Linked DNA regions of Rattus norvegicus. Each later gene encodes a partner of the first gene's protein in a complex. Links are inferred from orthologs where the notes say so. Each region holds a gene or a part of one and is shown in the gene's direction. Other genes may lie near its edges.

Region 1 (4,256 bases):
CCCTGGGTTCGGTCCTCAGCTCCGAAAAAAAAAAAAAGTGGACAATGGGCCTGGAGAGAGGTCTGTCCAGTTTAAGCATGTTCCCATGCCCTCCCCTATCACTCTCTGCCTTATTCCTTTGAGGCAAGATCTCAGGAACACCAACTTCTCAAGACAAAGGTGTCTAGGTATTGCCCCTTCAATAGCCACACATTTTTGTCCCAACCTTATAGATCAGGTGCTTTTAAAAAAAAAAAAATGTCACGGCAAATTCCCCCAAGTCACTCCCCTGCTGCTGCTGGTAAAGCCCTTACTTAGGTGCAGCATTCCTCTCTGAGTGGCCACACTTGTTCCCCATTACCCGTCCTTTCTCCTAAGAATAAGCTGTTTAATTCTAACTCATTTTGGCAGTTTGAGAATGGTGTGGTGAACATCAGGACCAAAAGCTGGGGAAGAAAGGGTTTATTTGGCTTACAAATCTACATTGTACTCCATCACTGAGGGAGGCCAGGACAGGAACTCAAATGGGAAGAACCCGGAGGCAGGAGCTGCTGCACATCCCATCGCTTGTCTCCATGGCTTGCTCAGTCTTCCTTCTTATAGAACCCAGAACAGCTGTCTGCAGTTGTACCACCCACATCAGTCACCAGTTTTAAAAATGATCTGCAGGCTTACCTACAGTCCAATCTTATAAGAGGTATTTTCTCGATTGGGGTTCCCTCCTCTCAGATGACTGTAACCTGTATTAAGTTGACATGAAATTAGCCAGCGCAATAATCGTTAAGTATTATCACAATATTTGACTCTTGTAGATTCCTTATATAGCCCTGGGAATACTAAGTCACACTAATACCACTAATGAGCTTATTAATTTAACGTAGCAAAGTGTATTAAGATATCAGTATCTGAGAGGCTGCATATAGATGAAAAGACAAAAACCATACACAAAGGTGATAAGCAAGAAACAGGCACTGTGCTTGGAGGACTGGGCCCGCTTGGAAATTCTGGTGAATCAGATGCAGTTTCACAAGGGACAACCACGTCCTAAGCCCACAGGATTCTCTCTAGGGGCCTTGGTAATGGGAGTTCATTAGAATTCTCAAGAGTGATGCCGAATGTCTCACAGATGTAGCTTAAATGGGTGCGTACACAGTGTCCAGGAACTCGTACTCAGCATCGCACACGTTGTTATACTATGCTGCGATACGTTACGTTACCGAATATGCCACAATTTATGATTAAAACGTACAACAGAAGAACCAGAGAGACGGCGCGTAACTAGGAACCACTCACAAAGAAACACCACCGCCCGCCCGACCCCCCAAGACAAACGCGCCGGAGAGGCGGGGTTTCCGCTTCCGGCGACGGATTGTTGACGCCCGCTGCTGCTGTGGTGGCGACCGAGCGGTTGGGGAGGGGCTGACGAGAGCGGGCGACGGCGCAGTGACAGGCGGCGCGGAGGGTGCCTCCGGGGCGACGATGGCAGAGGGGCCCGAGGAAGCCCGGAGCCGCCCTCCCGGGCAGGACGGCGGTAGCGAGGACCACGAGCCGGTCCCTTCCGGACCAGGCTCTCCCTCCTCCTCCTCCGCCGCCGCCCCCCGGCCCCCGGCTCTCACGACCGTCGCCTCGGCGGTGCCGGAGCCGGAGCCGCAGTGCGAGCTCCGGAAGCGCCGGGAGACGGGCGCAGAGCCTCAGGAGCCGGGGGGCTGCGAGGCGTCGGACGGGCCGGGGCGGCTGAGCGCGCGCGAGTACTCGCGGCAGGTGCACGAATGGCTGTGGCAATCCTACTGCGGCTACCTCACCTGGCACAGCGGCCTGGCCGCCCTCCCCGCCTACTGCGGCCCGCCTCCCGCCGCCCCTCAGCCCGCAGCCCCGCCGCCGCCCCCGCCGCCGCCGCAGCTCGCTTACTACAACCCCTTCTACTTCCTAAGCGCTGCGGCGCCAGGGCCGGGGGCGGCCACGAGCGCCGGCGCCACCCCGACAGCCGTCGCGGGCCTGACGGCCCGGGCCCCGCACGTGCAGGCATCTGCCCGGGCGGTCCCTGTGACCAGGGTGGGCTCTGCAGCCCCTGCACGGACGGCGAGCGACACCGGGCGGCAGGCAGGTGAGAACGGGGTTGAGGTGGGTGCGTAGAACATCGGAGGGATAGAGTAGAGGATTTTATTCATCTGCCTCCACTTCCTATGTGTAGGATTACTGGTGGCCCGCGGGTTCTTTTTTTAAATTACTGCTACCCCTACCACCATTTTTTTTTTGGAAGGATCTCATCTTGTGGTCTAGGCTAACCTTAACTCAGTGTATAGGCCAGGCTAGCCTCAAACTTGCAATAAGACTTCTGTGCAGCCTATAGGCTCTTACTACATTCCTGTGCTAGCCAAAGGGGTCTGTCGAAGGATCTTGAAATATGTAACTGGGGAACTGCTACTACCATTGACAGTTCCCACGTACATCTGCTATGGTTTGCCCAGGCCCTAAATTCTAAAAAAAAAAAAAAAAAAAAAAAAAAGTACAATGCTGATTGTTCTTCCCTTAAGACCTGGCACTACCAATAGATTCCCTTAATCCTGACACTAGTAGCCCTTCTTGTATATAGAGAGACGTATGCTTATCAAACCATTCTCTCGGTGATCTCCATGCTCTGGACAAGATCCAAAGCTAAACTTAGGTGGCAAGCGCACTGTTGGAGGATTGAGATTAGAATACGAGAAATCACCAAGTTGGGCTGTATAAGGACAGTGGGACTGAAAGGCGATTGACATTATAAATGAGAACTTTTGACTGGGCCCAAGCCTTGAATATCATCTAGTAATCAATTCTGTGTAGTTATGAGTCCTAGCAAACTGTAGGAAAATTTACAGCCACTCTGCCGAGCCTGGGCCCGGAATGCTGGGATGACTGGCATAGCTTGCCACGTCCAGCTCGTTATTAGACATTTTAGGAACATGTTCTCTTGATGGGATCATTGCTGTTGGCTGATTCAAGGCTATCATTTTTTAAAAATTAAGTTGGACCTTGACTTTACTTTGCCCCTTCATTATCTGACTTGGTTCTTAAGCTTGTGTGAGAGATTCCTTTCCCTTTTCTTCCCGATTTACAGGTAGAGAGTATGTCATTCCATCCTTGGCCCACAGATTTATGGCAGAGATGGTGGATTTCTTTATTCTCTTCTTTATAAAAGCGACCATTGTCCTGAGCATCATGCATCTCAGTGGGATAAAGTAAGTTAAGAACAGTCACTGTTAAGTAGCTGGGGCTGCTACTTAGGGATCTTGTTTTGTAAATTCTGCACATGCCCATGAGTAATTCTGAGTGATGGATGTCCAAGGCTAAGATGTCTCCATGAAATCTGTACCAGTTGTATTTGTTCCCTTATTTATTGTTTTAAAGTGTATTTATGTGTAGCCAAGAGGTCTGCTTTGGGTGTCTTCTACTCTCTGCTGTGTTTTTTGAGGTAGGGTCTCTCACTTAACCTGGAGCTTGACATTTCAGCTGGACTGGCTGGCCATCAAGTCCCCCAATCCACTGCTCCCCCATCCCAATGCTACATAGGTACATAGGTGTCCTGGGACCCACTCAGGGACTGACCTTCTTCGTAAAGCACTTTACCCACTGAGCTGTCACTACCAGCCCCTTGTTGGTTTTAAGGAAGAAACAAAGGAGGAACCTCAATATGTTGTTTAAGATCTATGGGAAAGAGGTAAGAGGAGTGAGGCTTTGGTGGTACACTCCTTTAATTCCAGCACCCAGGAGGCAGTGGCAGGCAGATCCCAGTTCAAGGCCAGCCAGAGGTACAATTAAATACTGTCTCAAAAGAGATTTTAATAGGTAAAAGGAGCCTTTAGACCTGGCTTGTTTTTTGTTAACCATTCTCTTGGGCCTGGAATGTATTAGTTTCCTTCTCATTGGCCTATGAAGTCTCTACCATGAAAGCACAAAGAGCTTCAGTGGTTAAGAGTACTCACTGCTTGTCAGTTCCCATGTCAGGCAGCTCATCGCTGCCTTTAACTCCAGCTCTAGCTTCTGCACATGCGTGGCATACATTTGTAATAAACAGAGACACACACATTTTCAAAGTACAAAGAGCCTGTGGTAGGCAGACTGTTGGTGATCAATTTCAGTGGGGTTGCTTAGAGTTGAGCACATTCTAATGCAAAGTTTGGCATTTACTTGAAAACCTCAAGTCTTAGGATAATGCCTGTTCCCACTTGCTAAGCATTTTCAATGAGACACTAATTTGGGTTTATGAGAAGATGTCAGAATCGAAAAGAAGATAGAAA
Region 2 (3,647 bases), on another chromosome or scaffold:
TTTATGTTGTTATTAACTGTCTATGATGTAGTGTTTTTATATCTGATGAGAGCTCGTGTTTGCCAGGCTTACCAGTTTCCTGGATCCACCCAGGGACTGAAATTCTGAGGAAGCCATTCTATTTTATATTAAAAAGTGTTCCAGGATGGCTCAGTGGGTAAAGGCATTTGCCATGCAAGTCTGGCGACCTGAGTTCAATCCCTGGAGCCCATGTAAAGTTGGAAAGGCCGACTTGTCAAGTATGACATGGCACGTTCATGGCATGTAATACCACACATGCTTGCCTACAGTAATAAGTAAAAATTAAGAGCATCCTATTTAATATAAAAAACAAACAATTCACTCAGTCGGTTGTTCTGGTTACTATGGAGAACTTGCTGTACATACCTATGACTGTACTTATTTTAGAGAGGAAAAGTTTCAGTATTTTATAAGATTTCATTAGTATTTAGCCAGTTATACAAAAGACATCTGAAATATAGAAACCAAATAAAACATTATATAAGCCCTTTTGGGGAGCAGGTTTCAAGACAGGGTTTCTCTGTGTAGTCCTGGCTGTCTTGGAACTTTCTCTGTAGACAGCCTGGCTTCAAACTCAGAGATCTGTCTGCCTCTGCCTACTGAGTGCTGGGATTAAAGGCTTGTGCCACCACCGCCCAGCAGTAAGCAATGTAATTAAAGCACATGTACTGATTGACTAATTAATTAATTTTGCAGTACCAAGATCAAACTTAAGAGTTTTGTGTGTGCTGGGTTATTTAATTTTTTTTTAAAGACATGGTCTTGCCATGTGTTCCAAGTTAACGTTGAATTTACCAGTCCTCCTGCCTCAGCCTCCCAAGTGCTGAGATTACAAACATGTTTTAAGGGTTGTTTTCTAAATGTATTAATCACAGTACTAAGGAGGCTAAGAGCCACTCTAACCAAGTTCACAACTTAGCTTTTGAGTCTAAATCTGAAGCCTGCAAAAGGATATGTTAACAGTAACAATATCAGCGATGATTAACATTTACTAAGTCAGTATGTGTCATAGCACTTGGTGTCACTAATCCATTTAACCCTCACACCTGCTGGATTGGATATTATCTGCCTCGGACAGATGAGGGAGCCGAGACTTAGGTTAAATAGCCGGCTTAGGCAAACACATCTAGCAGGCAAAGGCAGACATAATAAAGGCTCATTGTTTCGTCTGTTTTTTGGGCAGGATAATTTCCCCTCAGACTAAGGGAAAAATAATACAGTCAATACAAGCTTTGATATATCTTCCCCTTAGACTATAGTGCTATGTTGTCATGGTTCTCCTTAAGAACTTGTTCCTTGATGGTTATGGGGGTGGAGGAGGATGGGGCAAGAGGATCAGGGGAGGATGCAGGAACGAGACTGTAATGTTTGTTGGCTACTGTAACCAGTTCACTGATTGAATCTTGGTTCACTTACTGTGTGGCATTTGTGATGGCATGGGACCTCATATACCATACAATTTTCTGTCTCTGTGCTCCTCAAGGGACAGACGGTCCCTTGGAGTCTAGCTTGTACAAGTCCAAGTTTATGCAGCCATAGTTCAGTGTTAGTACGCTCTTTTACGCAAACTCACCAGTAGTTTCTTTATATCTTTGTATTATGGGTTAACTACATTTAAGAAATTTCAAAGAATAATTTTAAGAAATTCAGATTATCTAAGTTTTTTTCCTATGCTAGGGATCAAACTCAGGGTTTTGTGGATGCTATGAATGTGCTGTGCCACAACGGGGCACCACCACACCTTTATTCTGAGATAGTGTCTTTCTATGTAGCTCAGGCTAGCCTTGGATTTACCATCCTGTCGTCACTCTGAGTGCTGCTGTTACAAGTGGGATCCACCATACCCAGTTAACAAGTGGCTGTTGAAACGAATGTCAAGCTTCAGACGGGCATTCTGCAAGTAACTGAGATCAGCAGTCCCCCATGTTCAAGCTGTTGCCAGCACAAAACTTATAATTTTAATCATTTGGGTTATATTATCTGATTCTTTTAAGTGTTTGCATTTTTTCTATTGGAAACTCTTTGACATTTCTCATATGTAATTCATATTATACTAAGACACTTCATTCTATTTCTTGTCTTAAAGCATCAATATGTTCTAATGGAAAGGCTATTCCTAGTGAAAGGACTAAAGCCATTGATGCAGTGCGGGCAGGTTAAGGAGTCTGTGTGTACTCCACCTTTCAAGCTTCCCTGAGTGTGCTGTTGCTAGTTTTAATGTCTCCAAGGCAAACTTGAGATTTTGAAACCCTGTGTCACATTATGATTGTCCCCTGACTGAGCCAGTCATTGCAGCAATTGGAAGATGCTATCACCTGGGACCTTGGGGGACAGCCGTGCACACAGTGGAGCACACTGAGGCCCTCATGGACCCAGGGTGCCCTCATAGCATACAATACTGAATACTAAGTAACAGATACTTTAGACCTGGGTTTAGTTCACTTGTGTGGGATTATGGAAAAGGGTAAGCTGAGTTTGAAAACAATCACATTTTTATAATACCAGCATGAAAAATTAAAATTATTTCCTTATTATTGTCGATGGAGGGATGTCAATTGGTAAGATAATACTGAAGAGATCAGTGTCCTTCAGGGCCCTTGGATAGAAGAGCAGTGTCCGGAAGCTTAGCAGAAATTGCTGCAGCTGTCCACCATCTTCAGAGAAACAGCCACAGTGGACCTTTGTCTGCTGTAAATGGGTTCCTCCATTTCATCGAGCTCACCATAACCTGTGTTTCTAGCTTATTTATCAGGGTTGGTTCCTGGTTTCCGCATTCAGATGGTTCTTGGTAAATTTGCCCTAGTCATATCTAATACTCTAGGTATTCTCAAACTGTTAACAAGTGCATGTACAATTTTTCTTTTTGTGGCCAATTTCAAACAGATTTTATTATTTCTTAGTATGGCGCCCAGAATCCATCAGGAGCACCCTTGCCACAACCTACCCAGCCAGCTCCTAAGAATACCTCCATGAGCCCTCGGCAACGTAGAGCCCAGCAACAGAGTCAGAGAAGGTCGTCTGCTTCCCCCGATGTACTCCAAGGCCAGCCACCAAGAGCCAACCACACGGAGCACGGCGGGTCAGCCATGCTGATCATCATCCTGACTTTGGCACTGGCAGCTCTCATCTTCCGACGGATATATCTGGCCAACGAGTACATATTTGACTTTGAGTTATAATGCTGGTCTATGACTTCAGAGCTGTGACTCAGTTGCGTCATTAAACATTCTGCATTGGGTATAACCTAAGGATTGTTTACAAAAGATTATTTTGTATTTACCCTTCGTTACTTTTTTTATTGTTATAAATTCATTGTGCTATAAGTAGACATTCAGGCTGTGGCCCAGCAGTGTGTCGGAAGCCATAGTCCTTGTCTTACTATTTAATCTACTTCACAGACAAGTAACTTACTGCGGTTGCTCACACCCACGCTGCTTTTCTACAGAGCGCAGTGCTTTTCTGTGTGTCCTTTGGCATTCTCAGCTAAGAAGGTGTTTCCATTGAGTGTTATGGCTCCTCAGTCTCGCCTGTGAGTCCTTCTCTAGTTAGACAGTGAGGGAGAAGATGGCGGTGGGGCACACTGCTCACTGTCTTCTTGAGCAGTGTCATTCATAGGAGAGACATGG
Region 3 (4,103 bases), on another chromosome or scaffold:
CTGCCTGTTTTCTTCTTCTTCTTCTTCTTTTCCTCCTTCCTCCTCCTCCCCCTCCTCCTCCCCTTCTTCTCCCCCTTCCTCCTCCTCCTCTTTCCTTCATTGCCTCCTCAAGACTTTGCTGTTCATAAGCTGGGCTGGGCTCCAACCGTCTATTCTTTTTGCCTCAGCCTGTAATTATAGGCATCCACCTCCACTCTTGGCTCCATTGTCATTTCTTCTTGTTTTGAGACAGAGTCTTGTGTATTTCAGGCTTAGATCCGACTCTGTGTAGCCAAGGACTGCTTGGATTCCAGGTGTACACCAGGATGTTTGGTTCACACTGTGCGGCAGATTGAACACAGGGCTTTGCACACGCTAAACCAGTGTCTGTGTGTATTTGAAAGAGTGTGACTCATCTCGAAGGACGCTCTGGAACTCACTATATGGAGGAGGATGACCTTGAATTATTGATCCTCCTGCCTCTGTGTCACAAGTGCCTGGATTACAAGCATGCACTACCACACTCTCCTTCTTAAGATAATTTTATTGGGGGGTTGGGGATTTAGCTTAGTGGTAGAGTGTTTGCCTAGCAAGCGCAAGGCCCTGGGTTCGGTCCCCAGCTCCAAAAAAAAAAGAAAAGAAAAAAAAGATAATTTTATTGGAGGACAAACTCAGGTTTTGACACAGACTATTTGGCTGCTGGTAATATATTAGCACATATGTGTGTATATGTATATATAAATATGTACATATACGTATATTTGTGTATACATATATGTACATAATTGTATATATAACACATAAATATATGTGCGGATACATATATGTTTATATGAAGAGTCATGCTTCTGTATAGTATGTTTTGCGAAAGATATTAAGTTTCAAAGATATCCCCCACACTCACCATCCGTCTCAATATTCTGCCCAATGGAGGCTCCATACATCGCAAGAGATATACGAAAAAGTAATAAGAAGCTCTATTCCTGACAGCTGGGCGAAGGCAGGGACCAGACAAGAAGCAAAAGAACACAGCCAGTCCACACCTCTCAGGAATAAGGAGCGAGGAGGGGAGGGGCCTAATCTCGTAGCTGATTGGTTGTTGTTCCTGACCAATCAGAAGCAGCTATTGATTTTTACTACCAGTGCGACCCGCCTCCCTGGAGGCTTTGACGCCACGTTTACAAATGAGGATGAGTTACGTAAGAGAGAGCGCCCGGGCAGCCAATGAGAGCTTGAGGCGCTAATAGACGGGTGAGGCCGCTGCCAGGTTTGGGGCGGAAGGAACATCTCTAGCAGAGACGAAGCGGAAGATGGCGGCGGAGGCGCTGCTGTCCAGTCTGTTGGGATTGCTATTTCTGGGGCTCCTGTTACCTGCGCATCTGACGGGCGGTGTCGGGAGCCTGAATTTGGAGGAGCTGAGTGAGATGCGTTATGGCATCCAGATCCTGCCGTTGCCTGTCATGGGAGGGCAGGTGAGGGATGTAGGGCGAGGCGAGGGTCCTGTGCAAGAGGTAGGGGCGCAAGGTGGAGGAGGAAAGGCAGCTGCGCGTCCGGCGCGGGAGACCGGGGGAATGAAGAAGACATGGTGGTGTTTCTACGATCCTGCTGGGAATGGCAGGCAGATCTATCCCCGGGGACCAGGCACCGGCAGGGGTGGGGCTCTCCGCTGTGGACCTCGGGTCCCCAGGTCGCGTTGAAAGGAGCCGGACCCCGCCAGGTGGGGAAGCGAGAGCGCCCTCTCCTCCGCTCAGCCGGGGCTGCTGGAGGACTTGTGGCTTATTCTCTCTTCCACTGGGCACGTCCCCAGGGTCTGAAGAGGGATCTCGTTGTTCTTGGTCCCAGCGTCTGCCTCCCTGCCCCCCTTCCCGACCCTTCTTTCCCAGAGCCAAGCTTCAGACGTGGTGGTTGTGTCTTCAAAGTACAAACAGCGCTATGAGTGCCGCCTACCAGCTGGAGCTATTCACTTCCAGCGTGAAAGGGAGGAGGAGACACCTGCTTACCAGGGGCCCGGGATTCCTGAATTGTTGAGCCCAATGAGAGATGCCCCTTGTCTGCTGAAGGTGAAAGGAACTGGGGTGGGCGGAGTGAAGTCTTGGGAACTGGAATGGGGGGCGGTGGGAGTTAAGGGGCCATTGGTGTACTAGACATTGTTTTCAGACGGAGGAGGGGGAAACAAAGCAAAGACTCTGCTGAGTGTAGGGAAGGGTTACGTTAGAAGATCTCAAAATTGGTTAAACCAAGATGAGAAGAACAGTGATGGGATGGGAAGAGCAGGAGCTTACCCATAAAGTCACCCTCTGCTCCTATTGCTCTTTACCCCGGGATGCCATTGTATTCAAAGAAGTTCACTTAATACTTGAACCTGTGGGAGGGTCCTTCTGAGTGCTTCAAGGATACCATGATTTCTTATCTTTATGGAGGGCAGGGAATGACTTATGCCTGTGATCCTAGGTTGGATCACAGTGCACTGTGGCCCTGTCTTACCCCTTTCCTGACAGACAGACAGACAGACAGACAGACAGACAGGGTGTGGGTGGGAATCAGTTATACTTTAGATGTGCGTCTCTGGCCATGAAAAGAAAACAGCTGTCCCTTCTCTTAGAATCAAGAATGCATGAGGGGAGAGAGAGCAGGAGGTGAGAACTCAGTGACAGGTTATATATCTTGGATCCAGGAGACTGGTTTCACAAGGAGCCGTTTTCGTGCCTCCTGATTGTTCTCTTTCCATTGTCAGACCAAGGACTGGTGGACATATGAATTCTGTTATGGACGCCATATCCAGCAGTACCATATGGAAGGTGAGTAACTCCTACATTCTCCCTAAGCCTTCATGATGCCGTGTGGATGGCGACCCTCCCTCTCAGTCCTCCCTCCTAGGCCTCATAATAGAATAATGTGCTTTACTGTGGCTTCTTTTACAGACTCGGAGATCAAAGGTGACGTCCTCTACCTTGGCTACTACCAGTCAGCCTTCAACTGGGACGATGAAACAGCCAAGGTGACTGGCTGGGGATTGGGGTTGGAATGGGGACTGGCTGAGCTTCAGACAGACAACCCAGGCGACAGGAGGGTCAGACTGAACTGCTATGTTTCTTGGGGTTTGGTACCCATCAAGTCCCCTGGATCAGGTCTTTTGATCCCCGGGTCCCTGTGGGAGAGACCCTTCCTCATGCCCTCATCCTACCTCATGTTTTCTCCAGGCCTCCAAGCAGCATCGGCTGAAACGCTACCACAGCCAGACCTACGGCAATGGGTCCAAATGCGATCTCAATGGGAAGCCCAGAGAAGCTGAAGTTCGGGTAAGTCTTCGAAGAAAACCTTCCCTGAATAACAATAGTCCATCTGTTACTATGGGAGAAGGATGCTTGTGCCCTGAAGTGAACAGTATCTCTTAGGTGTAGAGCCCAGTCTGGGGCTGATGTCTAGCTGCCGGAGTGATATCATTGCATTTGTGGAGGTAATTTAACTCTGCGTTTCCCATAGGCTACCCTCAGTACTTCCAGGCACATTTAAGCCTTTCCAACATTTCTCCTTTCCGTTACCTAAGCTGTAAACGTTAGCGTCTGTCTGTCTTTGACTCTTCTTGCTCTGGGTGTAACATGGAGACATCGGCCTTAACTCTTCCAGCAAAGTGGGAAGCAAACAGGAAGTTCCTGCATGTGAGGAGGGCCTGATATACAAGGGATGCTAACCCAAGAAGTGAGTCTGAAAGAAGCCACAAGTCAGTGGTTCTCAACCTGTGGTCCGAGACCCCACAAGGACCACACATCAGATGCCCTGGATGTCAGATATTTACATTATGACTCATAACAGCAGCAAGATTTCAACTAGAAGAAAATTATCCCATGGCTGAGGGGTGGCCACCACAGCAGGAGGAACTGTGCTAAAGGGTCACAGCGTAGAACCACATCGTAGAACCAAGGATGAGAAGGAGGGAGATAAGGCTAGCTCGCTCAAAGCCCAGCTATCCTCTTAATGGCCTTTTAAAACTGGCTTCAGGGCTGACAGCGTCAGCGCACGCCTTCGATTCCCAGCACTCTGGAGACAGAGGCAGGTGGATCTCTGTGAATGCAAAGGCAGCCTGGTCTACCTAGTGGGTTCCAGGACAGCCTCAAAAACCAAAA

What was found.
Region 2: Fam8a1 (region 1) and Ube2j1 share a complex: the UniProt entries of both Homo sapiens proteins name them as parts of the HRD1 complex. The link is inferred for Rattus norvegicus from reciprocal best matches to the Homo sapiens genes FAM8A1 and UBE2J1.
Region 3: Fam8a1 (region 1) and Os9 share a complex: the UniProt entries of both Homo sapiens proteins name them as parts of the HRD1 complex. The link is inferred for Rattus norvegicus from reciprocal best matches to the Homo sapiens genes FAM8A1 and OS9.

Annotation. Positions count from the first base shown.
Region 1 is NC_086035.1:18,238,805-18,243,060, reverse strand, and holds the start of Fam8a1 (protein FAM8A1), read left to right. Parts: upstream 1-1,357; 5' UTR 1,358-1,458; coding exon 1,459-2,083; intron 2,084-3,076; coding exon 3,077-3,197; intron 3,198-4,256. UniProt on the Homo sapiens protein: Plays a role in the assembly of the HRD1 complex, a complex involved in the ubiquitin-proteasome-dependent process of ER-associated degradation (ERAD).
Region 2 is NC_086023.1:52,232,246-52,235,892, forward strand, and holds part of Ube2j1 (ubiquitin-conjugating enzyme E2 J1), read left to right. Parts: intron 1-1,793; coding exon of another isoform or gene 1,794-1,921; intron 1,922-2,921; coding exon 2,922-3,200; 3' UTR 3,201-3,647. UniProt on the Homo sapiens protein: Catalyzes the covalent attachment of ubiquitin to other proteins. Functions in the selective degradation of misfolded membrane proteins from the endoplasmic reticulum (ERAD) and is essential for cells to recover from ER stress.
Region 3 is NC_086025.1:64,826,228-64,830,330, reverse strand, and holds the start of Os9 (protein OS-9 precursor), read left to right. Parts: upstream 1-1,260; 5' UTR 1,261-1,289; coding exon 1,290-1,451; intron 1,452-1,862; coding exon 1,863-2,039; intron 2,040-2,713; coding exon 2,714-2,777; intron 2,778-2,900; coding exon 2,901-2,977; intron 2,978-3,179; coding exon 3,180-3,278; intron 3,279-4,103. UniProt on the Homo sapiens protein: Lectin component of the HRD1 complex, which functions in endoplasmic reticulum (ER) quality control and ER-associated degradation (ERAD).